7 linked regions of the Oryctolagus cuniculus genome follow. The protein of the gene in region 6 binds, or shares a complex with, the protein of the main gene of each other region. Links are inferred from orthologs where the notes say so. Each region holds a gene or a part of one and is shown on either strand. Other genes may lie near its edges.

Region 1 (3,521 bases), on a different chromosome or scaffold from region 6:
GAGACAGAGAGAAAGGTCTTCCTTCCGTTGGTTCACGCCCCTAATGGCCGCCAGGAGCCGGGTGCTTCCTCCCAGTCTCCCATACAGGTGCAGGGCCCAAGTACTTGGGCCATCCTCCACTGCCTTCCTGGGCCACAGCAGAGAGCAGGCCTGGAAGAGGAGCAACCAGGACTAGTACCCGGTGCCCCAACCGGGACTAGAACCCGGGGTGCCGGCGCCACAGGCGGAGGATTAGCCAAGTGAGCCACGGCGCCAGCCTCAGGACATGGGATGTGACAATGATTTCTTGGCTATGATACCAAAAACACAGGCAACAAAATCAATGGAGAAATGGAACCGCACCAAACTCAGACACTTCTGTGTATCCAGACAGCAAAGATGGTACCAAGGCAACAGAGGGAAAGAGTGAACTCACACCTGGTGGGAGGTTGGTACCCAGAAGATGTAATTCCACAACAGCAAGAAATAACCCACCCAAAAATGGCTGAAGAATTTAAACAGACATTTCTCCAAGGAAGAGATATACATGGCCAGTAAGCACATAAGCTGCAGAACATCTCCACTGATTAGGGAAATGCACATTAGAGGCGCTGTGAGACACCAGCTCACACCCACCAACGTGGCCACCATGAGGACAGCAGCCTACAGCAAGTGCTGGCCAGGACGCCCGCAGTTAGTGCGCTGTGTGCTACCACAGACAGCGCTATGGAGTTTCCCAGACAAATTAACAGTAGAATTAGCAATGATCCAGCAATCCCAAAGGAACCCAGAGCGGGACCTCAACGTGAAACGGGTATTCCCATGTTCAGGGCACCACCACTCACAACAGACAAGGTGAGAGCAACCCAGAATGCCCCTCACAGATGAGCAGATAAAGAAAATGCAGCACACACACAGGATGGAATATTCCACAGCCTAAGCAAGAAGCTGACCCTGCCACGGGCTGCAGCCCAGGGGGACCTCAAAGACATCACGCCACTCCACAAAGGACAAACGCGTCCTGCGAAGCTACGACTGAAGCCCAGCTCACAGAAGCAGGGGGACAGAGGGGACTACGGAGTCCCAGGGCTGCAGGATCACTGCAGTGCACACGGCACACTCGACAAGGAGAAACAACTAAGGACTTGAACTTGAGTTGTGTGCAGTGTTGCTGGTTCCATCGGGGTGGGGGGGGAGCAAGCCGGCGAGACGCCCCAGGCAGACCCCGCTCGGCCAGGACGGGGTGGGGCGCCTCTCGCCTGCTGCAGCTCGCTGATCAGCTTGTTCTTGTCCTCGATCAGCCCGGCACAGTGCAGCTGCTGAGTGTTGAGCACCTCCCACAGGTCCTGGGGAATTCTCTTCTGCTTGCCCTCCTCCCACTTGGACGTGATTTCATCAAATTTGTCCTGGCTGGTCTTCACTTCGTTCTCCAGCTTCTCGATCCTGCAAGACAAACCAGCCAGCTCCTCTGGAGTTCACAGCACAGGGCAGGCCGAGGGCAGCGGCCCACACCGAACCACCCGCGGGGGAATCTTCCTTCGGTTTCAGCAACTTAAAGCAAGGAAGCAGAGTGACACTCCACATACTTACACACACACCACACACGCATGGACAGGCGTCAGTCACACATGAGCTCTGCTCCCCTTACATGCATTTTAAAAATTAGAAAAAGTCAACCAGTCGCGTTCTCCTGATGGGCCTGGAGTCAGGTAGGCCGTGCCCCAGTCCTGACCTGGCTGCTGACTGTCAATCACACACAAGTTGCTTAACCTCCTCCAGCCTCACTCTCCTCATCTGTAAAATGGGGGCATGCAATGAATCCACCAAGGCTGGAACACGACTGAAGGCAGGCGCTGGAGCTGAGACGGGAGCCCCCTGCCCGGGGACCCCCCGTCCAGGACATGCCAGACTCTCTCCTGCAGGACCACCACAGACAAGAGCCCAGGAGTCACAAACATCCCGTGGGGCTCTCCCCCAACCCCGTCCCCTTCCATCCCCTACTCTGCCTTCTAAGCTAGCAGACATCCTGAACATTAGAATCTAACGAACATTTTTCTTTTAAGAAATGAGAAAAGAGCTGTCAGATCACTTTTCTTCTTCCTTTTATCTGAAAGACAGAGTGACAGAGAGAGATCTTCTATTCACTGGTTCACTCCCTAAGTGGCCACAGTGGCCAGGGCTGGGCCAGGCCAAAGCCAGGAGCCTGGAACTCCATCCAGGTTTCCCACGTGGGTGGCAGGGGCCCAAGCATCCGGGCCATCTGCTGCTGCGTTCCTGCTGCTGCAGGGAGCGGCAGTAGAAGTGGAGCAGCTGGGACTCGAACCAGCGCTGCTAAGGGACGCCAGCACTGCAGGTGACAACTTGACCTGCTGTGCCACAAAGCCAGCCCCAGGGTGTCTCTAACACACACTGAACTTGCTTGCAACCCTTGCTTCCATCTTCCCTCAGCGTCTGTGGGATGAAGCCTGATTCCTAAGCAGGACATTCAGGGCCTTTCACACATTGGCCCTTGGGGCCAGCGCTGTGGCACAGTGGGCTAAGCTCCACCTGCGATGCTGGCATCCCATATGGGCACCAGTTCAAGTCCCGGCTGCTCCACTTCCGATCCAGCTCCCTAATGGCCTGGGAAAGCAACAGAAGATGGCCCAAGTGCTTGGGCCCCTGCACCCACGTGAGAGACTCGGAAGAAGCTCCATCGGGTTTCCTGGCTTCAGATCGGCCCAGCTCTGCCCGTTGTGGCCATTTAGGGACTGAACCAGCAGAAGGAATACTACTCTGTCTCTGTCTCTGTCTCTCTCTGTAACTCTGCCTCTCAAATAAATGAAAAAAAATCTTTTAAAAAAATGTTGGGGTTGGCACTATGGCATAATGAGCAAAGCTGCCACCAGTACCAGCATCCCACATGGGCGCCAGTTCACGTCCTGGCTGCTCCACTTCCGATCCAGCTCTCTGCTGTGGCCTGGGAAAGCAGTAGAAGATGGCCCAAGTCCTTGGGCTCCTGCACTCACGTGGGAGACCCAGAAGAAGCATTTGCCTCCTGGCTTCGGATCAGCACAGCTCTGGCCATTGCAGCCATCTGGGGAGTGAGCCAGTAGATGGAAGACCTCTCTCTCTCTCTCTCTCTCTCTCTCTCTCTCTCTCTTGGCCTCGGCCTTTCTGTAACTCTTCCTTTAAAAAAAAAAAAATTCGACGCCTGCTAGGGATCAGCTAATTCAGCTCCTGGTGCAGTCCAGACAGGCAGCGGGAAGTTTGAAAAATACAGTCACCAGCTACAGACTGCTAAGGCTGGGAGGCTGCTATCCACAGTCCCTCTACCTTCGAGGCACACGCTGCCACATTTGTACCTGACTCTGATCAACTTAAAGCCAGGACTGCCCGGCCACCTTCCCAGCCTCCCCTCTCTTCTTCCACCATCACCCCCACACGTTTTCACTCTCACGAGAACATCATGGGGTGTCGTGACTCTGCCCAAGTGTTCTCTCTGCCTAAAATGCCCACTCTCCAACCTGCGAACTCCTTGCCGTCCCTCGCAGCAACCCCAA
Region 2 (4,114 bases), on a different chromosome or scaffold from region 6:
CAAAGACCCAAAATAGGGGCCACAACAGCACTTTACCAACATCTTATTTATTCTTTTGGTAGAAAAATGAAAAATGTCAACAGCATTATAAACTTACTTCTTTGCTTTGTACACATAAGCACACCTCTTGCCCAAGTAGAATTCAGTTTCATCCCGAGCATAAACACCTTCAATTTTAAGCAGTGCCGTGTGTTCCCTTTGGTTCCGGAGACCTCGCTTATAGCCAGCAAAAATGGCCTTGCACCACAGTCTAAGACACAAGATACAGAACAGTGTATGAAAGCTGTTAAAGCATCTACAAACCACCAATATGATTTGACCCCAATGACTCCCGCCTACTTCGGTCATGTCCGATTTCACTATGAGTATCTATAGCATCTGATTTTCTCTTCCAGCATTTCGTGCTCTTTTAAGCCCATGTCTAACACAGAAACTACAAAGCGAGAACATTAGAAACACGTACCTTCCAGACATAGCTGCCTTCTAGAAGTCCTGCTCCCTGCAGGCCTTAAAAAAAAAAAAAAAAAGACTCAGTTTAAAGCCGTGCCATGCCAATTTCCCACCTTGTCGTCCGTTTCTTAAGCCTGCTGTGTCCTTTTTGATCGGCACTCCACCTGGCATGGGGGGGAACCTTAATTATGCTATAAGGTCTATACGAAAAGCAGTCCGTCAAGACTTGCAAACTTCAGAATGGCTGTTACCTAATCAAACTCCAAAGACAGATAAGCCAGGGCAACACACGGAAAGAGCCAATTCCTATAAACTTCAAGAGGAAACCCCCAAAAAAGAAACGAAAACTCAGGAAAGAATGCAGTTAAGCGCAGGGAAAAAACTTCTATGAATCGGCTTAGGACAGAAGAGCTGCGGAGATTACAGGCAAAAACATGTTTGGAGTAGAAGCAAATTGAAAAGGCCCAACGTTAAGCCGCTCACGCGCCAACTTCAGACCGACAGAGTGCATCTATTTCACATCGCTTGAGCCCAGGAACCAAGTCCCATTACCGGGGCACCAGGTCTCCGGGCGCGAGGGGACCTGCACCATCAGCCCCCCATCTCTTCCATCCCGTCCTCCCTCTTCCTGGAAACCATAGCAATCACTGGCTGGCAGGGCCTCAGAGCCGCACCAGACCCTCGTCAAGGTATATAGGTGAACCCAACCCGGTTATTTGCCTCCAAAGTTCAGCAGCAAACGCTCCACTCACCTCCACAGGCTCCAAGATGGCGGAAAGAGGAAGACGAGGCCCCGCCGCGTGGCCTTGTGGGATAAATACCTCCCCGCCCCGCCCCAAATTTAGGCATCTTCCGCGATCGCCAGAAAAACAAGCAGCAGAAATCATCTTGGGACTGAAGTGAACTACATTCAAGAGAACTTTTACAAATTCCTTTTCTAGGTCTTTCTATCTTTCTAAGCTGCAGTATGTATCATTTGGGAACAGCGGCGGGCAAGAAGACAGCCAGCTAAAGGAAGGGGGGGAAGGTCCCCAAACTCGTGTCGCCATAGAAACAGGTCCGCTTGGTTCTCGGGTACGCGGATTCCGTAGGTGGAAAGGCGAAGACGTTGCTCTGCCTCAGGTGCCTAATGCCGGGGTTCCTTTCCCATCTATGACACGGGAGTAGGGCGAACGGAGACTCGCGTCCTACCCGAGTCTGGAAGAAAAAGGCCGGGATCGCGAAGGCAGGAGCTCTCCCTTCTCTTCACCTATGTTTTTACTTCTCTCCCCCTCTACTCCTTTATCTCTTGAGAAATGGCTAAGTCCTTACTTCTAATTGCAGCCTTCGTTTTGACTGAGGGGGTAAGGAGGCCTGCTCTGCCTGGGCCTTTATAGGAGAATGTTTGAGCTTCCCGCTAGAAGCTCAGGGTGGCCAGCGCCGCGCCCACGCGTGGTAAATCCTGGGTAGAAACTACAGTGGATGGATTAGTGGACAGCAGAGATTTAAGCTGCCTAACTTTTGCACATTTATCTGAGTTGCCCTGCGGATTCTTTGATTATTTAGCCAGTAGTTTACTGAATGACTACCGCTTACCAACATTTATTGTAGGTTTGGAGGGTACTGCAGCAAACCAACCAACCAGAAATCTCTGGGCGAGACCATGCGTCTGCATATGAGCCATTCGAGGGTAATACTTCCATGGAGAAAAATTCAACAGGCCACCATAGGAAGGCTTTTTGCCCTCCCATCTGAGGTTTCTGAAGATGGAGAGTGACTCTAGCTGATACTTTTTTTTTTACCAGGATTCAACTGTGTTGACAAGGAACACAAGGGCGCCCGGGAGGCTGCTGTAATGATCCTAATGAGAGATGATGGTGTGTAGACAGGGCTGTTGAGTCCTGGAGTTCCTAAGGCATTTTAAATGTAACACTGGCAAGATTGGCTGATTAGTAAGTCACATTTAAGTCAGATCCTCTCTTAGGTACAGCAGGATAGGGCTTATGTCCCTTGTAGCCACCTGCCCCATCCCTTTTTCTCTGCCACAGAAATGTACTAGAAATCCCGCTCTTAAGAGATTAATTTCTTTAAAAAAAAAAGATTTATTTATTTATTTGAAAGAGTTACACAGAGAGAGGAGAGAGAGAGAGAGAGAGGTCTTCCATCCGCTGGTTCACTCCCCAATTGGCCGCAACGGCTGGAGCTGCGCCAGTCAGAGGCCAGGAGCCAAGAGCTTCTTCTGGGTCTCCCATGTGGGTGCAGGGGCCCAAGCACTTGGGCCATCTTCTACTGCTTTCCCAGGCCGTAGCAGAGAGCTGGATCAAAGTGGAGCAGCCAGGTCTTGAACCAGTGCCCATATGGGATGCCAGTGCTTCAGACCAGGGCATTAACCCACTGCGCCACAGTGCCGGCCCCAAGAGATTAATTCCTTAAGGTTCTAAATGAAAGTCTTCCCAGGGGAGAAGCATACATGAAGTGCAAGTTTCATTCATTTCACAAATCCTTATTGAGCACAGGGGCTGAAATGTAGAATCTGTCAGCATCATTGTCATGTTTCCTGGTCTGATGGAACTTAACGGCCTAGTGGGGGAAATTTACATAAGCATTAAAAATTGTGTGGCGAGCTGTGCTTGAAAATAGAGTGCTGTGAGTGCGTGAACAGAGGGCTCCTAGTGCAGCCTGATGAGTCAGAGCAGGTATCACTCGGAGGAAATGTCATCTAAGGTGTTTTTCAAACCATGGGTGATGAGCATTAATAGATTGTGATCATAATACTACTTTTTAAAAAGGTGTATTTATTTATGTGAAAGGCAGACACACACACACACACACACACACACAGAGACACACAGGTATTCCTAATGCTGGTTCACTTCCCTAGGTCTGGCCAGGGTAAAGCCAGGAGCCAGCAATCCCATCAGGTCTCCCATGTGGAGCCCAAGTACTGGGACCATTTCCCAGGTGCATTAGCAGGAAGCTAGATTGGAAGCAGAGTAGCTGGGACTCAAACTGGCACTTGTAGTTGGGATGCTGGTGTCACAAGCCAGTGGCTTGGTCCTCTGTGCCACAATGCCAGCAAAGACGTAATTTTTGTTCATTTATTTATTTCAGAGACAGAACTCCCATCTGTTGATTCACTCCCCCAGATGCCTGCAGTGACTTGGGCTGGTCCACCTGAAACTGTGAGCCAGGAACTCACTCCATGTCTCCCACGTGGGTGGCAGGAATTCATTTAATAGGATCAGCACTGCTGCTTCCCCGGATCTATATAATAAAGCTGGAGTCAGGTGCCAGAGCCCAGTATTGAGCCCAGATGCTCAGATATGGGACACAGGTATCTTAACTGGAATCTTAACCACTAGGCAAAATCTACTGCCCGGGGTACTTTTTAAAAAATTAGTGAGATTTTGTTATTTATGTATTTACTTATTCAAAAGGCAGAGTGACAGAGAAGGAGAAACAGAGAGTTCTTCTATCTGCTTGTTCACTCCCCAAATGAACACAATAGTCAGGGCTGGGCCAGGCTGAAGCCACGAACTAGGAACTCCATCTGAATCTCCTGTGTGGGTAGTAGTTACCCAAGTATCTGGGCCATCATCTGCTGGTTGCCCAGGCACACGAGCAAGAAGCTTTATCGGAAGCAGAGCAGCTGGGACTCAAGTCCTGCCTTTTGAATGCAGGATGC
Region 3 (4,087 bases), on a different chromosome or scaffold from region 6:
GCTCTGAGCAGGGCTCCGGGACCGCTCGCAGCTCTACAGGGGGAAGGGGCCCGTCGAGCCAAGGCTTCTGAAGAAAGGCTGAAGCAGAGGTTGCAAGAGTTGGAGGCTGAACTGGAAGAGGCCCGCAGCGAGGGGAAGGCCGTATATGCAGGTGCGTGGTCGGTTCAGCAGCTGGGCAGGACACAAGGGCCTGGGAGAAGATAAGAGGGGCTTCTGACTGCCGGGCCCGGTCTCAGCCTTCCCTGCGTAGCACAAAGCAGGCAACTCCTGGTGGATGCAAGGAGGCCTCTGGGCTCGCAGGCAGGGACCTTCCAGGGTGCCTGGGGCCAGTGTCAGTGCCAGCTGCACTGGGGGACACAGGACGCAGTCCCAGCCACTGTTTCATTCACTCAGCAGCAGTGAGCGGGCAGATGGGCTGGGGCCCTGATCCTAAGCCGGAGTGGGGAGGCGGCCTGGTGTCCTTCCCTTTCCCCAGGTGTCCAGGGTCTCCCAGCATCCCAGGATCACAGGAACTGAGCAGTTCCTTGGGCTCCTGTCTCCTGGACCACACAGTTCCTTCCCGCCCCCAACTCCTTGCCTTTCTCCATCCCTCCTCCATCCCTGGCCGTCCACCGTCCTCCCTCCAGAGATGAGTCGCCGGTGCAGGGCCCTGCAGGAGCAGATGGAGAGACGCAGCAAGCAGCTGGAGGAGGAAGTGAGGGGTCTCCGCAAGCAGCTGGGTAGGTGCCCCGCCCTGCCCTGGGCCTTTCCTCTCCAAGGGAGGCTGACAAGATCCAGGTTCAGTGCGGGGGCAAACTTAGGTCTTCTCCTAGAAGGCTGCCATCGTCTTCCCCTCCCCCAACCTTGGCTCCCGCAGTGAGGATCAGGCAGAGGTGAGGACAGCATGCAGCTCACTAGGCTAATCCTCCGCCTGGGGCGCTGGCACCCCGGGTTCTAGTCCCGGTTGCACCTTTTCCAGTCCAGCTCCCTGCTGCGGCCCAGGAAGGCAGTGGAAGATGGCCCAGGTCCTTGGGCCATGCACCCACATGGGAGACCAGGAGGAAGTACCCTGCTCCTGGCTTCGGATCCGCGCAGCGCACAGGCCGTAGCAGCCTTTTCGGGGGTGAACCAACGGGAGGAAGACCTTTCTCTCTGTCTCTCTCTCTCTGTCACTGTCTAACTCTGCCTGTCAAAAAATAACAATAAAAATAAAAATAAAAATAAAAAAAGACCCTTTAGGGCAAAGTAAGGAAGAGGCACACCTCGCCCTATCCCCCCTTGCCTGGAATCTCCAGACCCAGCTGTCACCTCACTCCCTGCCACTGCCACGTCTCTCCAGGGCATATCAGAGCACATCAAAATACTCATGGAAAAATGGAATTACAGGATAAGCTTAGGTGCAAGAAACATTGAAAATCTATGCATTTTTTAAAAGATTTATTTATTTATTTGAAAGGCAGAGTTACAGAGAGAGAAAGAGAAACAGAGACACAGAGATCTTCCATCTGCTGGTTCACTCCCCAAATGGCTGCAATGGCCTGTGCTGGGCCAGGCCAAAACCAGGAGCCTAGAATTTCATCTGGTCTCCCACATGGGTGGCAGGGGCCCAAGTACACGGGCCATCTTCCAAAACCTTCCCAGACACATTAGCAGGAAGTTGGACCAAAGGTGGAAGAACCAGGACTTGAGCCAATGCTCCCATGTGGGATGTGGGTATTACAAGTGGTGCCTTAATCCACAGCACCATAATGCTGGCCATTATTTCCAGTCATATTTCCTTCTAACTTTCTGAAATATTCTTCATCTCCCTTCTCAGGTTAGCTAATTTTTACAATGAAACTAAGGGAAAATGTTAGGCTTCTTAACTTCTATATCTCTAAGGCCTACCACCTGGTAGATCCTTTTTCCTAAATAAGTGGATAAACTCTCTATATAAGCAAAAATATAAAAGCCAGGAAGCCTTTGCTTCTCTTCCCTCTTGCTTCTTGGCCCAGTCCTGGCTGTTGCAGCCATTGGGGAAGTGAACCAGAGGATGGAAGACCTCTTTCTCTTTCTCTTTCTCTTTCTCTCTTTCTCTTTCTCTTTCTCTCTTTCTCTTTCTCTCTTCTCTTCTCTTCTCTTCTCTTCTCTTCTCTTCTCTTCTCTTCTCTTCTCTCTCTTCTCTTCCTTCTCTCTCTCTCTCAATATAAAAAATTATTTATTTGAAAGACAGAAAGGAGAGTTCTTCCATCCACTGGTTCACTTCCCAAATGGCTACAACAGCCAGGACTGGGACTGGCTGAAGCCAGGAGCCAGGAACTCCATCCAAGTTTTCCAAGGGCCCAAGCACCTGGGCCATCTTCTTCTGCCTTCCCAGGTGCGTTAGCGGGGAGCTGGATCAGAAGTGGGACAGCTGGGACTCAAACTGGCACCCTGGTGTGGGACGCCAGTGTCACAGTGGTGGCTTAACCCACCACACCACAACTCTGGCCCCTCATTTGCCCTTTAAGATGAAGAAACTGGGGTAGGTGTTTGGTGTAGCAATTAAGATGCTGACTGGGTGGCCCACATGTCATTTTGAAGCTCCAAGGTTTGAGTCACAGCTCCACTCCTGCTACTGTGCACCCCAGGAGGCAGCAGCTGATGGCTCAAGTAGTTGGATTCCTGCCACTCACGTCAGACACATGGATTAAGTTCCTGACTTCAGTTGCAAGCATTTGGGGAGTGAACCAGCAGAGAGGAGCCATGGTGTGTGTGTGTGTGTGTGTGTGTGTGTGTGTGTGTGTGTGTGTGCAAGTGCCCACAGATGCCTCTCAAATAAAGAAGAAACTGGGGTTTAGGGAGACATGCGTGAGCTTACACGAACAGTGACAACCAGACTTAGCCCCCAGCTCCTCTCCAAGCTCACTACTCATAAACCTCAATGGACCTTCAGCTCTTTGCAGGGACTATGAGGAGGTCGCTGACCTGGGCGGAGTCTGAAATGAACACACTCAGAGCCTCCTTTTCAGGTGCCTTTGGAGACTGTGCAAGCACCAAATTCACCGTCCTGTCCTCTCCCATCCTCTGCTCTGCTCCCCAGAGACTTGCCAGAGGGAGGCTGTGGCTGCACAGGGGGAGGCAGCGAGGGCCCTCGGAGAGCGGGACCACACCTTGGCTCAGCTTCGGGCCCACGTGGCCAGCATGGAAGCCAAGTACGAGGACATCTTACACGTGAGCACCCCGCCACCTCCACGAGCCCCACAGGGTGATGACTGACAACCCGGGGGGAAGAGAAGAAAGGGACTCCAAGGGACCCCTGCTCTGTCCCTAGCACAGGCAGAGGGAGTTCCACGGTGCCCACTCCCTTAGACCAGGAAGAATGCTGGCAGGGAGAGCTCACAAGGCAGCCGCCCTCTCTTCCTGGGGACTGGGAGCTTGGTATCCGCAGGGCAGCCTGGACCGGCTCCTGGCCAAGCTGAGGGCCACCCAGCCCCAGTGGGACGAGGCCGCACTGCGACTCCACGCCAGACACAAGGAGCAGCTGCGCCAGCTTGGACTCAACCCCCTGGATCTTTGAAGCTGCCAGCCTCTGGGCTCTGGGACCCTCTGAGACCCCAGAAATAAAATATCCTGAAGGAGAACTCAGCTGAACCGTGGGCTGTGGCCTTTTGTCATAAAGGAGTGGCTTCCGTGGGGACACCTCTGTTCTGAGCATCCCGTCCCTTGATCCACAAGGCTGAGTGATGAGAGAGAAAACCGGCAAAGTCCCACCCCTTCTCCTACAGAAACTGGAGCCCAGCCCCCGAGCCTGGGACCTCCAGCTCCCTTTAAACCACTGCCCCATATCTCCACCAACAAAAACACAGGCAGTCCGATTTATGGGGAAAGGCCATTTAAATAACAGACACACAGCGTCCAGGGGCCAGCCCCCCCAGCCCGAAGGTGCCCACTCAGGGAGGGGGTTGCTGGGTCTCCCAATTCTTGGACCCAGAGAGTCCCAGAGTGGCACCTAGGTCAAGTCCCAGAGGGCTTCCAGCCCAGCCAGCCCCACAGCACCCCCTTCTCAGGCAGAACTTAGTCCTCGGGGTGCAGCCATCTACAGCCACCGAGGGACATCCCCCGGCACCTGAGGCCCCCGAGGCCTCTG
Region 4 (4,131 bases), on a different chromosome or scaffold from region 6:
TTTCAGAGGCTCGTGGCCAACGGCCCCTCACGGGCGGGCCCCAGGGGCCGACGCTGGGCGCGAATTTAATCCGGTCGTGCTGGGCCCTCGGGTGCTCACTGGTCCTCGCGCCCCGCACTCCGCGCGGGAGGCAGCCGCACGCACCCTGCCGGAAACGCCCCGGCCCCGGCCCGCGCGCGGTCTCGCGAGGATTCCCGCGAGGATTCCCGGGGCGCGCGCTCGCCCGGCGTTGCCGGGAGACGGCGCAGCCGCGGCGGCGGCTCGTTCGCGTGGAGTTCGCGGCTGGGCCGGTCAGCGGCGCCATGGTGAGGACTGGCGGGAGTCGGGGCCCGGGTCCGCGCCGCGGGGTCTGGGCCCGGCGTCGGCGGTGCCGGCCGCGGGCGTCCCAGCGAAGGCGGCCCCGGGTCTGAGGTGCCGGCCTCGCGTTTGCGGGGGATCCCGGCGCGCCTGTGGGACCCGCGCTGTCCCGCGTCCTGCGCTCGCTGGGGTGTTCCTCGCGCCCGCCCCGCCCGCCCGGCTTGCACGGTGTGCAGACTCGAACGCCTGGGTGGCGGGGCGTCGCCTCGCAGGGGCTGCGGCGCGCGAGGACCTCCGGGCGCTGGGGCGCTGGGGCGCTGGGCGCTCAGAGCGTGCGGGGCCCGTGTCCAGGCGCTCCGGGAGCCGCGGCTGGCCCCGCAGCGGGCCGCGAAGTGGCGCCGAATCTTCCTCCAAAGCCCTGCGGGTGGGGGGTACGCGGACGGCCCGGTACCTTAGGAGTTACGGTGCTAGTTGCTAGTCTTGAAAAGCAACGGGGGAACATCAAAATAAGCTTGCGGGAATGTGGGCGGTTTTCTTTCTCTCGAATCTGCATGTGACATTTGCAGTAAGTCTTGCAAGTGCGTGGCATGGAGGGTGGTTGGGAGTAAGAGAGGCAGGATAGGGTTTGAAAGTTCAGTCCGGCCCGAGCCTGGGCGCCCTGGGCTGGGGAAGAAGCCTTGCTCTCAGCCCGGTCGTGATCACTCGCAGTGGGTGCCGTCTGCCCAGGCTGTCTAGATGCGGGTTCTCGGTGGAGTTTCATATTCGGGAAAAGGAACCCCCAGATGGCCAGGACTGATGGTTTTCCCTACGTCTGCCTGCGGTGGTTACCGGGCATTATGGCCGACCCGGTCACATCAGCGAGGGACTAGGGGTCTTCCTTTATGAGCATATACCAAGGGGTGAGTGGGTGTGCAATGGGTGCCTGCCTTTTGGAAGGAGAGCCCGTTCCTCTCTGGCCTCGCCATGTGTGCCGAAGGGTAATCGTGTGGCTGAGGCGCAGGGCAGATGAACACGCTCCGTGAGTGCTCTTCCGGGCACCCCAAGGCCCTGGACAGAGAGGGGCACGTTCTGCAGCGGGGACTCGAGCCCAGCCGGCCCAGGGGGAAGGCCGATTGGCGGTCACCCTACGTGGTCACCCCACGTAACCGTCAACAAAGATGGAAGCAACCTTCTCTTCTGTAAACAAGGCTCCCAAAAGGAAAGGGAAGAAGGGCAAGGCCAAGGGCACCCCGATCGTCGATGGACTCGCGCCGGAGGACATGAGCAAGGAGCAGGTGAGCTTCCCGAGCCCGTCTGCCGCCCCTGTGCCCACGTGTGCCCACAGCTCTCCAGCGCGTTGCGTGTCTGCTCGCGTGCCGCGCAGCCGCCTGCAGCCGTGTTCTAACAGGGTGGTAGGAATGTGGAAAGACATGGTGTCCTGGTAGGAAAGCTGTTTTCCGGGGTTGGTGTTTGGCCTGGTGGTTAGGACACCGTGTCCCTTATCCGAGGACCTGGGGCTGGTGCCCGCCCTGGGTCCTGACTTCAGATTCCTGCAGTGCAGAGGCTGGGAAGCAGCAGCGATGGGTGCGGTGACTGGGCCCCTGTTTCTGACGTCCAGCTTTGGCCTGGCCCTGTCCGGGCTGATGTGGACGTTGGAGACTGAGCCAGTGGATGGGAGCACTCTCTCTCTCAGATAATTAAAAAATGAAAATATTTTTAAATGCTATTTTTGTAACCCTTTCAGGTAGCTGGTGTTTGTAGAACTGTTCCCATAGCACATACATGCAGCGCATTCTCTTTTATTTTATTTCCTATTAAGCACTATAGCAAAAAGAAAGTCTTTAAGCAGAACGTGACTTACTTCAATCACATTGTCTGAGTCTGATTAATCATTCTTTTTTTAAAAGATTTATTTATTTGAAAGAATTGGGGGGTAGGGAGAGAGAGAGAGAGTGTGTGTGAAGAGAGAGAGATCTTCCATCTGCTCATTCTCTCCCCAAATGGCCACAACCAGGGCTGGACCAGGCCAAAGTCAGGAGCTGGAGCTTCCTCCGGATCTCCCACGTGGGTGCAGGGCCCGAGCACTTGGGCCATCCTCCGCTGCTTTCCCAGGCCATTAGCAGGGAGCTGGATCCTACGATGAGCAGCCAGGACTCAAACCCATGACCACGTGGGCAGAAGCTTCCCCCGCACCACAGCGCTGGTCCCTCGTGCTTGTTTTTACAAACGTTCCAACAAGGAGGAACAGTGTCCGGCTGCCTTCGTTGTGGCCTTCTTATTTGGGGCATGGGGTGATGTCTGTAGTTACTTTGAGACATTTTAAGCTGCTTGTCCATTTTGGTGTAAAGGGCTAGAGAACATCATGATGTCATTAAAATCTCACTTCCGATTGGGACACGTGGCAAACGCGGTGTGTCCTGTGGCATCCGTGTTGGCGGGACGCCCCCCCGTGAGTGTCTCTGGGGCCTGAGGGTGCTGTGTGAACTCAGGTGGCAGGGTTAATAAGCCCGAATATGAAGGAGCTGAAGTGCGAAGGGGTGCTCCAGGGATGTGCGGGAAGACCACGCAGTGCCGGCAGAGGTGTGGTGTGGGCGGGTCCGTTAGGCTGGCGGGGGAGCGTGGGTGCACGGGCGTTGCAGCGACCCTTGTGCTGCTGTCTGCTCCCTGTGGAGGTAGAGCTGCCGCGGCAGCAGGCCTGACACAGGCCTGGTTTACGGCACGTTGTGCAGTCCAGGAGTGAGGACAGGGACTGGCATCACCTGGACACGCGTGCCCCTCTGCTGAGGACATGTGCGCAGTCTATTGGATTCTAGTGCTGTTTTCTAATTTTTCAGGAGAAGCTAGAAATCTGGATATTTATAAGAAATCTAAGTGTTGATTGATGACGAGATCTAACTCTGTGTGAGCCACACAGAGCAGCTAGGTACCCTGGTTTAACTGTTTGTTCTGTGACCTGGTGACACGTGCCATTTTGCTGCAGCATTTGTGAGATTCTGGGGTGGCATCCTCCCTCAGAGGCCTTTGCCCTGCCGAAGTCCTCTGTGCTGCGCCCCCTTTTCTCTTCAAGTAAGACGTAGTGGTTTCCCTCGGGGACAAGGTTTTAGGAGAGAACAAACTTTACAGAAAGTGACCTGTGGCTATACCTGAAAGAGAACTAAGTCTTTATTTTTTTTTTTTTAGAGATTTATTCTATTTATTTGCAAGAGTTACAGAGAGAGAGAAAGAGATATATCAATATGAATATCAATCTTCCATCCACTGGTTCACTCCCCCAAATGGTTGCAATGGTCAGAGCTGAGCCGATCTGAAGCCAGGAGCTTCTTCTGGGTCTCCCACATGGGTGCAGGGGCTCAAGTACTTGGGCCTTCCTCCACTGCTTTCCCAGGCCACAGCAGAGAGCTGGATCCGAAGAGGAGCAGCCAGGACTTGAACCATTGCCCTTATGGGATGCTGGTGCTGCAGGTGGAGAATTAACCTGTGCCACGGCGCCAGCCCTATAACTAAGTCTTAAGTGGAATGAGATGCCAGGAAAGCTGAAGCCTGTCCTACTTTTTTTTTTTTTTTTTTTTTTTTGACCTATTTGTAGTTTTGCAATAGGCTGTGGGCCAAACCCTCTTGTGTTAGGAACCTTCTGGTTCTCTGTGCTTTTACTGACATTGTGCCTTGAAAAGTGAATGTTCTTTCACTTAATGTTATTTTGTGAACATGTTTACATGCTTCTTCTAATTTACTTTTATTTATCTGCTTAGTTTTGCTATTATAATACTGCTGAGGCTAAATATCTTTGAGCCAGAAGCTCTTGTGTTTCTTTTGAGAAGTTTCCTCAGTATGAATTCCCAGGAGTGGAAGGAAGCT
Region 5 (4,116 bases), on a different chromosome or scaffold from region 6:
AGCCAGGAACTTCATCCGGGTCTCCCAGGTGAGTGGTAGGGACCCAGGTATTTGAGCCATCACCTGCTGCCTCCCAGGGCACGCTGAGCAGGAAGCTGGATTAGAAGCAGAGTAGTGCATAGAGGAACCAGGTATGCCTGCCTGGGAGGCGGGTGTCCCAAGAAACCCCCGCCCACATTTTATTTTTAACCACTTCCCTAACAGTTTCCAGGGCCTGAACTTTCTCTCCAGAACATTTAGCAAACCTAGGATTCCCGACAGCAACCTCATCCCAGTCTTGTCCGCCGGGAGGGTGCATGCCTCGAGAGCAGACAACACACACGCATCCACACGCACGCACCAAGCTGTGAGGGGCTGGACCACCGCGACTTCCAGGCCCCTCTCCCCTCATAGGCGCCACGGCGGGTGCCTTCTCCCGGGGGTGCTGCACGTGGCTCTGGGCCCCCGCAGGGGCCAGGGGAATCCCTCCAGACCGCCACGGCCCCGGCGCAAGCTTTCAAGTGAGGCCCGGGCAGCACCAAACTCTCCACGGGTGGCCAATTTTCCATCCCGGGGCTGAGAACAAAGGCGTGGAGACCAGGGAGGTAGCTCAGGCCTGCACACCCACCAAGGCCAGGCACAGCCGCCCCCCTCGCCCCCGGCTTCCCCACCGCGCCAGCCCGTCCCCTCCTCCCGGCCGACTCCTCGGTTTGTCTCCCTCCCCGCCTCAGGGGCGCTGCATGGACCCCCGCACCCCGTGGCCTCACCAGCTGATCCCGAGCGGCGCGGCCCCAGCCCGCGGCCACCGCGCCGCCGGCCCCGCGTCAGCAAGTAAATGCCGTAGCAGGCGCCGGCCCCCAGGACCAGGCCCGCCGCCACCCAGCTCGCGTGCCGGACACCGATCATGCCGCCGCTGGGACAAGGCTGGTGGAGGCCTGCAGCGTGCGCGGGGCCTGACGCCACCGGAGCGCAGCTGAGCTGAGGGAGGAAACAGCGGCCCGAGCTCCGCCTCCCGGAAGCCGCCCCGCTAACACCGTAAAACCACCCACTCCGGGTCCCCCGAGGCTGCCTCCCGGCGGGCTGGGCACCAGACTCTGGCTGGTGCTGCACGGGCCTCGCGCCTTCAGGGGAGCCCTGCCCGCCGCCCCGAGGCGGGGTTCGGTTCCCGCCGGCACGCGAGACCGCCGCCCCGGCCCTGCCCCCCGCGCCTCTCCGGTTTCCAGGGCAACGCCGGGACGCGCTCCGCCCCTGTCCGTGGCGCGGCGCCTCCCGCGCCGGGCGCTGTGAGTCCGCGGGCCGCAGCTCCCGGGTCAGGCCCGCGACCATGGCCTCCCTCCGCACCGCCAGCCCCACGGTGAGGAACTACTTCAAGGAGAATTACATTCCTCAGGTTTGCGAGGTACTGGAGCCACGTGGCGGCGGACACGCATCCTTTGTGGGGAGGGGAGGAGGCAGGGGGGACCGGAGGGGTCAACGGTGGGCGGGGAGGGAGGCGCGCCGTTGGGAGTAGGTGGTGAGTTATTTGAGCTAGTCCGAGGTCTGGGCAGAGGTATGTATCCAAGAGAGGGGGGCGGTGATGATGGCTGAAAGGCGAGAGGGGGTGACAGCTCTCAGAAACACGGCACCCTCGCTGTCGTCACTGCTGCCAAGCCCGGTCATTTATTTTTTTTTAGCCATAGCTGGTCATTTTAAAAATACAATCATAGATGTGCAACATGCCCCCGTCTGTGCCAACGTAATAAAGAGGTGTGTCTGCAGTCGGCTGCGCTGTTTTTCTTTGGTCTGTCCGAATCTGCAGCCGAGCTCCTGAGTTAACACTTGGGGTAGTCTGCGGGATTCGTCTCAGGCCCCTGTGGAGCGTTCTTCCCCGCCAGAGGACGGGATTCAGGGGTGGCAGTGGCCTTGTCTGCCTGGGCGACCCCCCTGCCCCAGGAGTGGGCCAAAGTGGATGGTGCGCCCGTTAGTATAGAAAAGGCATTGCATGGCCGGCGCCGCGGCTCACTAGGCTAATCCTCCGCCTGCGGCGCCGGCACCGGGGGTTCTAGTCCCGGTCGGGGCGCCGGATTCTGTCCCGGTTGCTCCTCTTCCAGGCCAGCTCTCTGCTATGGCCCGGGAAGGCAGTGGAGGATGGCCCAAGTGCTTGGGCCCTGCACCCGCATGGGAGACCAAGAGGGAGCATCTGGCTTCTGGCTTCCGATCCGCGCAGTGCGCCGGCTGTGGTGGCCATTTAGGAGGTGAACCAACGGAAAAAGGAAGACCTTTCTCTCTGTCTCCTAACTCTGTCAAAAAAAAAAATAATAATAAAATTGAAAAAATAAAAAAAGAAAAGACATTGCATGGGCTTGGGGAGACCTTAGAGAAGGATGCCTGGGCAGTGGCAGGGGCCATACGGTGGGTCTTTCTGGTGGAAACCACTGCTAGGTTATAGGGCATTCCTTGGAGAATGAGGAGACAGGCAAATCGAAAGGTGAGGGAAGATGGCATTCTGGCCCTGGAAATCGAGGTTGCTGTCCTCCAAGCCACACCTGACTCTGGAGATAAACCGGTGGTGGTGGTGGTGGTGGTGGTCATGTCCTGGATGACGAATATGATGCTGAGTCTCTGATGCTGTTCAAGGCCTGCCTAGTTGTCACCCAAAAAATTAAGACTCAGCAATGGAAGGTTCCACAGGGACAGCTGCAGCCCTCCCACCCCCACCCCCCAGGTGGTGGAGCCTTCAGTATTCTGCCTGTATACTCAGGTGGAAATACTGGATCTGGAGTCTACAGTTAGGCAGAAGGCCTCTGAATCCATTGCAGCTTGGCTGCTCCAACTATGGGATGTAAGGGTGGATGCACCCGTCATATGGCAGGACACCCGCCCTTGTAGACTGGATTCTGGTGGGAGCCCACATGGTATGGCTTAATGCCTGGGGCCATCAGCAGGTGGCAGATGTACGCTGAACTACAGCAGGTGTTGCAAAAGTTGGGAATGTGGAATACTGGGACGTAAGGGCCAGATAAAGAAGTTTTTATTGCAGGGATGGACTTGGGCTGCAGACTGTTCCCTTTGCCCTGTCTGGCCTCCTGGTGGTGATTCTAGCCACCCATTGGATAGCCTATTGCTATGATTACCTGTATCATTGCTTATCTGGGGGAGGCAGAAAAGGTGCACACTCAGAAGGCGGAGTGGGCCACAACTAGAGAAGAAAGAAGGCAAAGAACCAATCAGGGTCACTTGAACCCAGATGTGGGTCGATTTTCTGGCAGCAGAGACAGACGGGGAAAAATTAGCCGGGAAGGCTAATTTGATTTATGGCAACAATGAAAACTGCAATGATAGTTTCAGCCATCAAGGAAGCCCAGTTTGAGTACAGCATCCAAGTGGAGGCTGAACAGGATGGTAACAGGGTTTTCTTTCCTTTTTATTTATTTTTTTTGTATGTGAAAGATTTATTTATTTATTTGAAAAACAGAATTACAGAGAGAGAGCGAGAGCAAGAGCGAGATCTTCTGTCTACTGGTTTACTCCCCAAATGCTGCAATGGCTAGAGCTGGACCTATCCAAAGCTAGGAACCAGGAGCTTCTTCCAGGTCTCCCACTTGGGTGCAGGGGCCCAGGGACTTCCTTTCCCAGGTGTATTAACAGAGAGCTGGATTGGAAGTGGAGCAGCAGGGACTCTAACCAGGTCCACGTGGGTGCACACCACACTGATCCGAAGCCAGGAGCCAGGTGCTTCTCCTGCTCTCCCATGCAGGTGCAGGGCCCAAGGACCTGGGCCATCCTTCACTGCCTTCCTGGGCCACAGCAGAGAGCTGGACTGGAAGAGGAGCAACCGGGACTAGAACCCCGGGTGCCAGCGCCACAGGCGGAGGATTAGCCTATTGAGCTGCGGCACCGGCCTTTTTTTTTTTTTCTTAAAGATTTATTTATTTATTTATTTATTTGAAAGGCAGAGTTGGAGAGAGCGAGAGTTTACAGGATTTCTAAGTGACCCTGAGCCGTCTGAAGTGACTAACAACTGGACTTCTCAGTTCAGTTATGGGCAAGGCCCAGGTACCTTCTTGGCTGAGACTTGTGGGCACCAGAGACCTCATGTAGAATTGGCTATTCACTGACTCACTTCTAATAGCCATCAGGTGCTGGCATTAGTTGACA
Region 6 (4,288 bases):
GGAACAGAATTCACAAACGCACTTCCCTGCATCCATCCCTCGGCTTTGACCACATCTCTCCTATTCATTCTGAAAGCAAGAGGCTCTTAACCCCGTCAGGCCAGCGCGCACAGCTCCCTAAATTTCCTCATTATTGTCCTACTGGTATTTTAGGTTTAACTGTGTAACCCACGACAGCCTGCTTGCACGGATGTCCCTCCCGGCTCAGGGGCTCTCAACAGGATTGACTTTGCTCACCAGGGGTGGGGGCTTGTCCGTGGGCAGAGGCCAGGGAGACCACTACACCGCCTGCAACTCACAGGTGAGACCCCTCTCCCAACAATTAAGAACCACCCGGCTCAAAGTGTCCACGGTGCTGCTGTGGGGGACCCTGTCTCTGCACAGCCCCCCCACCCCGCACAGGTGACGGGGGCTTAGCCGGCTTAACTTGCCTCTTACAAGTAAACTCCAGCTCAGTCCCAAGTCCTCTCCTCCCTGTAACCTACTCGCCGCACCGTCCCCCAACTTAAACTCGAACCCATCATTTTACAGAGAGGGAAATGGGGCCCAGAGAGGGAAAGGGGTTTGCCCAAGGTCACACAGTGCACAGCAGCGCTGGGACCCGAGTCCTGAGACCCAGCCTGGGCTCCCCCAGTGGGCTCTGGTCCACGGACAGCCCAGAAGGTCACCCCTAGAGACAGGTCCTGGGGCCTCGAGGCCAGCTGCCGTCCCGCTGTTCGCTGGGACAACCCGACCGGGCACCGGTCTCCGCAGGGTCACCCCAGGGCGCCAGGCAAAGGAGCGGGCCAGGGAGAAAGCAGGAGGAGGGAGTGCGGCTCCAGTTGCACGTGCTCCCTGCCCGGGTCGGGGCGCCCACGCTGGGGTCGTCCCAGGAAGCCAGGGGCGAGGAAAAGGGGTGCAAAGCTTCAGCGCGGACTGGAGAGAGAACAGCACGGCCGGGACTTCCCCGTGCTCCTTCGGGGCTCGCCCTGCCCGCCTCCCACACGCGGGTGCCCAGACGCAACCCCTAACTCCGCGCCCTCTGACCCTCGACCCCTGCCCTCTCCCTCGGCCAAGCCCTTGCATCCCTGGGATTCTTACACGCGCCGCCCCAGCAACCCGGACCGCGCACCGGGGTCCGCACCGTGCAGCCCAGCCCGCCGGCGCCGCCACCAAAGCGCCGAGCCCGGAGCTGTTGCAGGGGCCGCAGCTGCCGCCACTTCAGCCGCTGCCACCACGGCAGCTGCGCCAGCTCTCCCTTCCACCGCCTACCGTCCCTTCAACCCCGCCGGCCCCGCCCCATTCCTCCTCCGCTGCGGCCTACTGGCTACCTGGGCTGCCATGCTGAGTTCTGATTGGCCAGGCGTCACGTCCTTCCTCAGTTCTCGTTTGCTGCCCAAGCAAGACTGCCTGCCCGCCTCCTTAAAAAGGGGCGGGACTAAGAAGCTCCGCCCTTTCCCACCCGCCCCGCTTTATTCACTCAGCCCAACCCAGAGAAAGTCCCAGGTCTTTCAATTGGCGGAACAGCAGCGAGGCGTTGCTTCTGATTGGTCAGACCTCAAGAGGTGGGGCTCACGGACCAAAACAAGAAATTGAATGGTAAAAAGCAAAGTCAGTCAGACTCCGAGGCCCGCCCCCTGAGACTGACAGGTAACCTAGCAACGCGGGCACCGCCGCTGTAACTGCAGAGAAAGGTGGAACCCCTCGGAACCGGTGAGTAACCGGGGTCCGCCCTGAGGTCTGGGACGCCGAGGAAAGTGGGTTAGGGGCTAGTCCGCGCCCCTCAGCTCCCTGAGGAATAAGTAGCCCCGTCGCCTCGCCGTCCCGGCTCCGGGCCTCGGGCTGGACCTCGCTTTCCACCGCCGCGGGGGCCACAGGGCAGCCCCCTGTGGGCTCTGCCCGCTTCGCGGCCCCACTCCCACCCGAAACGGGGGACCCCGTCGGCTCCCCGTCTTAGCTGGCTTCCCCCGGTCAGACCCGGCGCTGGGGGTGAGCGCGGCTCCGCCCAGCAGCCCGGGGCCTTTGGGGTCGTCTGGGTCCGCACTCGCTCCGGAGTCTGACTCGCATCTCCGTCCTAGAGCGGGGGCTGGCTGTGCACTCGGGCAAGTGTGGAGCCGCAGAGGTTAGCTGTGTGTCAAGCGGAGTAAGCGCTCAGTGACGGGGCTGGCGCCGGGCTGGGCAGCACAGCAGGTGCTCAGCGAGTATTATTATTATTTTTTTCTAAAATACATCCAGCCTTGACTTTTCCCTCTTAACATGGCTCCCAGGGTGTTCTGTTTCCCACCTTAAGTATTTATGAATTCAACAAGTGTTAACCAAGTGCCTGCCGTGGTACTGCGGTCAGAGGGATAAGCAGAATGACCGGCACTCCTGCCCGCTGGGAGCGTGTGGCCTAGGATGGGAGACAGTCACGGGAGAAATAATCCACTGGCAAGTGTGAAATTACACCCCAGGGGACTTCCAGAAGGTGGGGTGGAGGCAGGAGAGGGGGGTGGTGCGGCACGGGCAGAGTTACAGTCTGGGCGGTGAAGACGGTTCTGGGGATGGAAGCGTGTGAGTGGGGGTGTAACGGCCTTCAAGGTTACTAAAATAAAGGGCAGGGTTTGGAGCAGTGGGGGAGAAGCCCCCGGAGTCGCCTGCGTCCCTTGTCAGGACGCCTGCTCCCTGCTAGTGCACATCTCAGGAGGCAGCAGGTGACGGTGCCGGTGTTTGGTTCCTGACACCCACCTGGGAGACCTGGGTGCAGTTCTGGGCTCCTGGCTTCAGCCTGACCCAGCTGTGTTCAGTGTGGGCATGGGGAGCGAACTAGGAGATGGAAGGAATCTCTCTCTCCCTCTCTCTCTCTCTCTCTCTCTTTTCAAATACAATGGAAAAAAAGATAACATTTATGTTTATTTTATCACAATTTTATCAAGATTTGTTTTTATTTATTTGAAGGGCAGAGTAACAGAGAGAGGGGAAGAGACAGAGGAAAAAGGTCTTCCGTCGGCTGGTTCACTTTCCAAATGGCCTCATCAGCTGGAGCAGGGCCAGGCTGAAGCCAGGAGCCTGGAACCCCATCTGGGTCTCCCAGGTGGGCGGCAGAGGCCCAAGCACTCGAGGCGTCTTCCGCTGCTCTCCCAATCACATTAGCAGGAAATGGAAAGACAAATTGTGGATGTCCCATGCGATGCTCTTAAGCGATCAAATACGGAAAACGGGCTACAGTGCGGGTGAACCTCAAAAACTGTGTGCTCTTCAGGATTTCTCAATCTCAGCCCTACTGACATTTGGGACAGATAATTGTCTCTTTTGAGGCACTGTCTTGCAAACTGTAGGATGCTTAGCAGTGTCTCTGGCCCCTACCCCCTGGATACCAGCAGTACCCTCTCCAAGGTGTGGAAAGCAAACGTACTCTGGATTATTTCCAGATACCCCCTGGAACATAAAATCACTCCTGGTTCAAAACCATTGTGCTAAGCAAAAAGCCACAAAAGATTCCATACCATATGACTTCACTTATATAGAATAGCCAGATAAATGAAGTGTGGGTGGCACCAGACATTGCAAATTAGTTCATGGGAATTGGGGGAGTGAGGGGAATGTTCTAAAGCTGATTCGTAGGGATGTGGCATAACTGTAAGTCTGCACTGTCCCCTTGCAGTGGGTAGATTAGACCTCAACAGGTGTGTGCCATAAATATGATGCAAGGAACGGGCAGAGGGTTTGCAGGGCTTGGCGTGTGCTCTCTGTCCTCGGCTGCGGAGGAGCTGCCATTGAGCCGAGACCTAAGGAGTGAGAAGTTCCCAGTCTGGGCCTGGGGATCGGTCTCTGGTCAAAGGAACATCAAATGTGGAGGTCCTGGAGCCAGGGCGGTCAGTCGAAGCCAGAGTGGCCACAGCTCAGGGGCTGTGAGCGGCAGACTTTGAGACAGGCGGCTTCTCCTCGCTCAGCCCCTACTCCTGTTCCCCCCTCCACACCATCTCACTGGCACCCACACCACCAAAGTAGGCCTCCGCCTGAACTCTGTCCTCTCCCTCATCCCACGGACTTTACCTACCCTGTGCATCTCTGTCTGGCCACTGCCTTGTCCCCGATGAGGCCACCCGCATCTCCATGGACGACCGTGACAAGCTACACCGTGACAAGCACCTGCCATGCTCCCCTCCCCCGCCACACACACTCTCTCTCAAGCTACAAAGCTGCCCATGTCATTGCTTCAAACCCCTCTGGGACCTGTCACTTCCCTCTCCGAGCAGTGAGGGGAACTATGATGGCTAAATGTCCTAAGTCGGTCTAATTAGGGGGCCTGCTTTATTTGTGAGCCCAC
Region 7 (3,521 bases), on a different chromosome or scaffold from region 6:
GCCCAGCCCTGACTGTTGTAGGCATTTGGGGGAGTGAACCAGTGGATGAAAGACCTCTTCCTGTCTGTCACTCTCTGTGTATGTGTGTTTCTCTGCCTTTCAAATAAAATGAAAGTAAAGACATTTCTAAACAGGAAAAAGAGAGCATCTGGCACACAGCAATGATGGTGATTTGCTGTTCAGTTTATTACTATCGAAAAAAGCTGACGGCTCCTTGCTACGGTTTCATGTGTCCATATAGAAAACACACTGTGCATCTTTGGCTGCTTTTTTTATTCACATCCACTCCTCCACCCCTGCTAATTATTACCCTTACTTCACAGAGGCAGCATCTGACATTCAGAGAGGCTCAGTAATTCGTCCAGGGCCACACAGCGAGTCGGTGGGATTTGCACTTGGACCTGCTCCCCTGAGCACCACTCCATACTACCTCTCTTGGCAAATGCCCACTGACATCCTGCAAAGTAGCACCTCTGCTGTCTTCCCCTTGCTGCAGGTCCCCGCTTGCATCAAGGACCCAGGGGTCTGAGACGCTTCCTGTCACAAGGTCAGCGAGGGGCTTCCTGCCTCTACCCTGCCAGCCGCCAGCATGCAGGACCCCACGACGCTAGGCTCCAGCCAGTCCTCTGTCTCCACCCAGGAGCGGCACTCCGCCGCCGACCAACCTCTACCCTCCACGCCCCAGGCCTCAAAGCCCTTAGCCATGACCCTCCCTGCCAAGTCCAAGGCTCCCAATTTCCGTCGCATGCGCCGGGTCATTGCTGAAGATGCTGAGTGGACACTGGCCATCGTGCCTCTCCTCACGGAGCTCTGCATCCAGCACATCGTCAGGAACTTCCACAGTGAGTGTCCCTGCTCAGTGGGAGGAGCCCACCAGGGCTGGGGCAGGTGGGTGGGGACGGCCCGGCGCCGAGGCCTCAGCAGCCGGCACCAGGGACATCCTCAGACCCACTCCACACTTCCCTTCCGCTCAGGGCCAAGACAGCTCCTCCTGCCATGCCCACTGCCAGAGCCCACTGCACCCTCCATGCTGATGCCCTCAGCTAGCTGGGGCCAAGCCAACACCAAGAGCCAGGAGTTTTTTCTAGGTCTCCCACGCAGGTGCAGGGGCACAAGCACTTGGGCCAACGTCCACTGCTTTCCCAGGCCATAGCAGAGAGCTGGATTGGAAGGGGAGCAGCCAGGACACGAACCAGCGCCCACGTGGGATGTTGGCACTGCAGACAGCAGCCTTACCCACTAAGCCACAGTGCCGGCCCCCACAGCAGGGTTCTTTTTTGCTTGTTTGTTGTCTGCCTCCCTCCTCACTAGAATGAAAAAACTTGGAAGGAGACTCTCCGTTTTGTTTTTTGTTTTTTTTTTTTTCATTCTTAGAGCTCTAGCAATAGTGTCCTGTGCATGGTAGGTACTCACAAAAATAATTATTTTGAACAAAGAGATCAAATTAGATTGGGAGCCTCCCAGGTCTGAGGTCGTCTCCTCCATCAGACTAGCTGATAACTGACCATTGGTCCCGCGTCTCAGACTGGGAGCTCCCTGAAACCAGACACCGATCTGTCCACCATCAGGCAGGGAGCACCCCAAAGCCAGGGGCCATGTCCCCTCTTCAGCCTGGGGCTCCCTGAGAGCAGAAGCTGGCTGAGTTCTCAGACAGGAACTCCCCGGGGGGTACAGGAGGACCTTCCCTCTCCTCAGTGACCCCAGACAGGTGCAGCCCAGGGCGCTGTGTGAGCCCCCATCTCCTCCCTCTGTTCCCAAAGATAACCCGATCCTGAAGCAGCTGCTCCCGGAGCACCAGCAGAAGGTCCTGAGCCACCTGTCCCCTGACCTGCCACTCGCTGTGACCGCTAACCTCATCGACCACGAGAGCTACTGGCAGCGCTGTTGCATGCAGCGCTGGCCGGTGTGCCACGTGGCCAAGCACGGCGGCAGCTGGAAGCGCATGTTCTTCGAGCGGTACCTGGAGAGCCTCCTGAAGCACTTCATCCCAGGCACCACGGACCCGGCCGTGATCCTCGACCTGCTGCCGCTCTGCCGCAACTACGTGCGCAGGATCCAGGTGGATCAGTTCCTGCCGCCTGTGCGGCTCCCGCTCCCGCCTCGCACTGGGGACCAGTCGGACTCAGGCAGCGAGGGAGAGACGGAGGAACCCGTCATGGACCACTACCAGCTGGGGGAGCTGGTGGCTGGCCTGAGCCACCTGGAGGAGTTGGACTTGGTATACGGGGTCAAGGACTGTGGCATGAACTTTGAGTGGAACCTCTTCCTCTTCACCTACCATGACTGCCAATCCTTGGCAGCCACCATCAAGGCGTGCCACACCCTCAAGGTACCGTTGGCCCCCAGCTGCCCTTCAGTCCCTTCTCAGCATCTCTGGGATTCCCTCCATTGCCATCTTCTTTCTCCCATCACCTTCCTCACTGACAGAGGTGTGTGTGTGTGTGTGTGTGTGTGTGTGTGTGTGTGTTTAATGCATCCTGCACCGAGCCAGCAAGTTCTGGGGCTGCTGACCTAAACAAGGCACTGCCCCCCATCTCAGCAGCCTGAGATTAGTCATGGAGCTACCATCTGCATTCCAGGCCCTGTCCTAGGTGCTGAAGACACAACAAGCCACAAAATTATGCCATTTGTGCCTCTGGAGCTGACGAGCTGGTGGGATGAATGGCGCTAATCAGCGATGATATAAATGTACAGTTGCAGCTAGAATATGATCGCCAGATTTAGCAAATAGAAGTGCAAGACACCCAGTTAAATTTGAATCTCAGGAGCAGGCGCGTGACCTAGTGGTTAAGATACTGCTTGGGATGCCCACACACACCATCATGGGGTGCCTGAGTTCAATGCCTGGCTCTGGCTCTTGATTCTAGCTTCCTGTTCATGTGTACCTTGGGAGGCAGCAGACTATGGTTCCTCCTTGATTTGGCAAGATAGAGGTCCCTGCACTGGGGGCCGTTGCGTGGAGTGCCAGGAGCCACAGTTTATGGGGCAAGCGGAGAGTAAGGGATGTGGTGACTGTGATCAGCTTTTTCAAGAACTTGGCTGTTGGGCCGGTGTTGTGCCTCAGTGGGTTAAGCTGCCACCTGCGATGTCAGCATCCCATATGAGTGTTGGTTTGAGTTCCTGCTGCTCCAATTCCAAACCAGCTCCCTGGTAAAGCAGTGGAAGATGGCCCAAGTACTTGGGCCCCTTCTATGCATGTGAGAGACCCAGGTGAAGTCTCTGGCTCTTGGCTTTGGCCCAGCCCAGCCCTGGCCAATTGGGGAGTAAACCAGCAGATGGAACCTCTCTCTCTCTTTCGTCTCTCTCTCTAACTTGCTTGTGTTTGCCACCAAGGCGAGGCTCCATCCAGCTGCAAGAAAGCGATTGGTGATAGCAGGGAGATCAGGGACAGTTCTGAGAAGGCAGGAAGGGTGGGATCTAGGACCGAGATGGCCCCAGGCAGGGGGAGAGGGAAAGCAGGGTGGCAGTGGGTCTGTGTTTGCTATCAGGAAAATGAGGGATTCCCCTTCCATGGATGGGAA

The links.
Region 1: IQCD (region 6) and DRC1 share a complex: the UniProt entries of both Homo sapiens proteins name them as parts of the nexin-dynein regulatory complex. The link is inferred for Oryctolagus cuniculus from reciprocal best matches to the Homo sapiens genes DRC10 and DRC1.
Region 2: IQCD (region 6) and IQCG share a complex: the UniProt entries of both Homo sapiens proteins name them as parts of the nexin-dynein regulatory complex. The link is inferred for Oryctolagus cuniculus from reciprocal best matches to the Homo sapiens genes DRC10 and DRC9.
Region 3: IQCD (region 6) and DRC12 share a complex: the UniProt entries of both Homo sapiens proteins name them as parts of the nexin-dynein regulatory complex. The link is inferred for Oryctolagus cuniculus from reciprocal best matches to the Homo sapiens genes DRC10 and DRC12.
Region 4: IQCD (region 6) and GAS8 share a complex: the UniProt entries of both Homo sapiens proteins name them as parts of the nexin-dynein regulatory complex. The link is inferred for Oryctolagus cuniculus from reciprocal best matches to the Homo sapiens genes DRC10 and DRC4.
Region 5: IQCD (region 6) and FBXL13 share a complex: the UniProt entries of both Homo sapiens proteins name them as parts of the nexin-dynein regulatory complex. The link is inferred for Oryctolagus cuniculus from reciprocal best matches to the Homo sapiens genes DRC10 and FBXL13.
Region 7: IQCD (region 6) and TCTE1 share a complex: the UniProt entries of both Homo sapiens proteins name them as parts of the nexin-dynein regulatory complex. The link is inferred for Oryctolagus cuniculus from reciprocal best matches to the Homo sapiens genes DRC10 and DRC5.

Annotation. Positions count from the first base shown.
Region 1 is NC_091433.1:176,406,619-176,410,139, forward strand, and holds part of DRC1 (dynein regulatory complex protein 1), read right to left. Parts: intron 1,423-3,521; coding exon 1,239-1,422; intron 1-1,238. UniProt on the Homo sapiens protein: Component of the nexin-dynein regulatory complex (N-DRC) a key regulator of ciliary/flagellar motility which maintains the alignment and integrity of the distal axoneme and regulates microtubule sliding in motile axonemes.
Region 2 is NC_091435.1:82,116,798-82,120,911, forward strand, and holds the start of IQCG (dynein regulatory complex protein 9), read left to right. Parts: upstream 1-1,313; 5' UTR 1,314-1,675; exon of another isoform or gene 1,676-1,793; intron 1,794-2,040; exon of another isoform or gene 2,041-2,306; intron 2,307-3,540; exon of another isoform or gene 3,541-3,763; intron 3,764-4,114. Other genes in the region: RPL35A (large ribosomal subunit protein eL33), read right to left, coding at 98-250, 464-474. UniProt on the Homo sapiens protein: Component of the nexin-dynein regulatory complex (N-DRC), a key regulator of ciliary/flagellar motility which maintains the alignment and integrity of the distal axoneme and regulates microtubule sliding in motile axonemes.
Region 3 is NC_091432.1:111,116,998-111,121,084, forward strand, and holds the end of DRC12 (dynein regulatory complex protein 12), read left to right. Parts: intron 1-31; coding exon 32-151; intron 152-626; coding exon 627-719; intron 720-3,040; coding exon 3,041-3,171; intron 3,172-3,388; coding exon 3,389-3,517; 3' UTR 3,518-3,585; downstream 3,586-4,087. Other genes in the region: NHERF4 (Na(+)/H(+) exchange regulatory cofactor NHE-RF4), read right to left, coding at 4,037-4,087. UniProt on the Homo sapiens protein: Component of the nexin-dynein regulatory complex (N-DRC), a key regulator of ciliary/flagellar motility which maintains the alignment and integrity of the distal axoneme and regulates microtubule sliding in motile axonemes.
Region 4 is NC_091449.1:69,565,481-69,569,611, forward strand, and holds the start of GAS8 (dynein regulatory complex subunit 4), read left to right. Parts: upstream 1-1,310; 5' UTR 1,311-1,454; coding exon 1,455-1,571; intron 1,572-4,131. UniProt on the Homo sapiens protein: Component of the nexin-dynein regulatory complex (N-DRC), a key regulator of ciliary/flagellar motility which maintains the alignment and integrity of the distal axoneme and regulates microtubule sliding in motile axonemes.
Region 5 is NC_091434.1:141,235,575-141,239,690, forward strand, and holds the start of FBXL13 (F-box and leucine-rich repeat protein 13), read left to right. Parts: upstream 1-1,303; coding exon 1,304-1,378; intron 1,379-4,116. Other genes in the region: ARMC10 (armadillo repeat-containing protein 10), read right to left, coding at 747-1,305. UniProt on the Homo sapiens protein: Substrate-recognition component of the SCF (SKP1-CUL1-F-box protein)-type E3 ubiquitin ligase complex.
Region 6 is NC_091452.1:10,280,497-10,284,784, reverse strand, and holds the start of IQCD (dynein regulatory complex protein 10), read left to right. Parts: upstream 1-1,470; 5' UTR 1,471-1,692; intron 1,693-4,288. UniProt on the Homo sapiens protein: Component of the nexin-dynein regulatory complex (N-DRC), a key regulator of ciliary/flagellar motility which maintains the alignment and integrity of the distal axoneme and regulates microtubule sliding in motile axonemes.
Region 7 is NC_091436.1:125,847,560-125,851,080, forward strand, and holds part of TCTE1 (dynein regulatory complex subunit 5), read left to right. Parts: intron 1-323; exon of another isoform or gene 324-496; 5' UTR 497-589; coding exon 590-842; intron 843-1,760; coding exon 1,761-2,329; intron 2,330-3,521. UniProt on the Homo sapiens protein: Component of the nexin-dynein regulatory complex (N-DRC) a key regulator of ciliary/flagellar motility which maintains the alignment and integrity of the distal axoneme and regulates microtubule sliding in motile axonemes.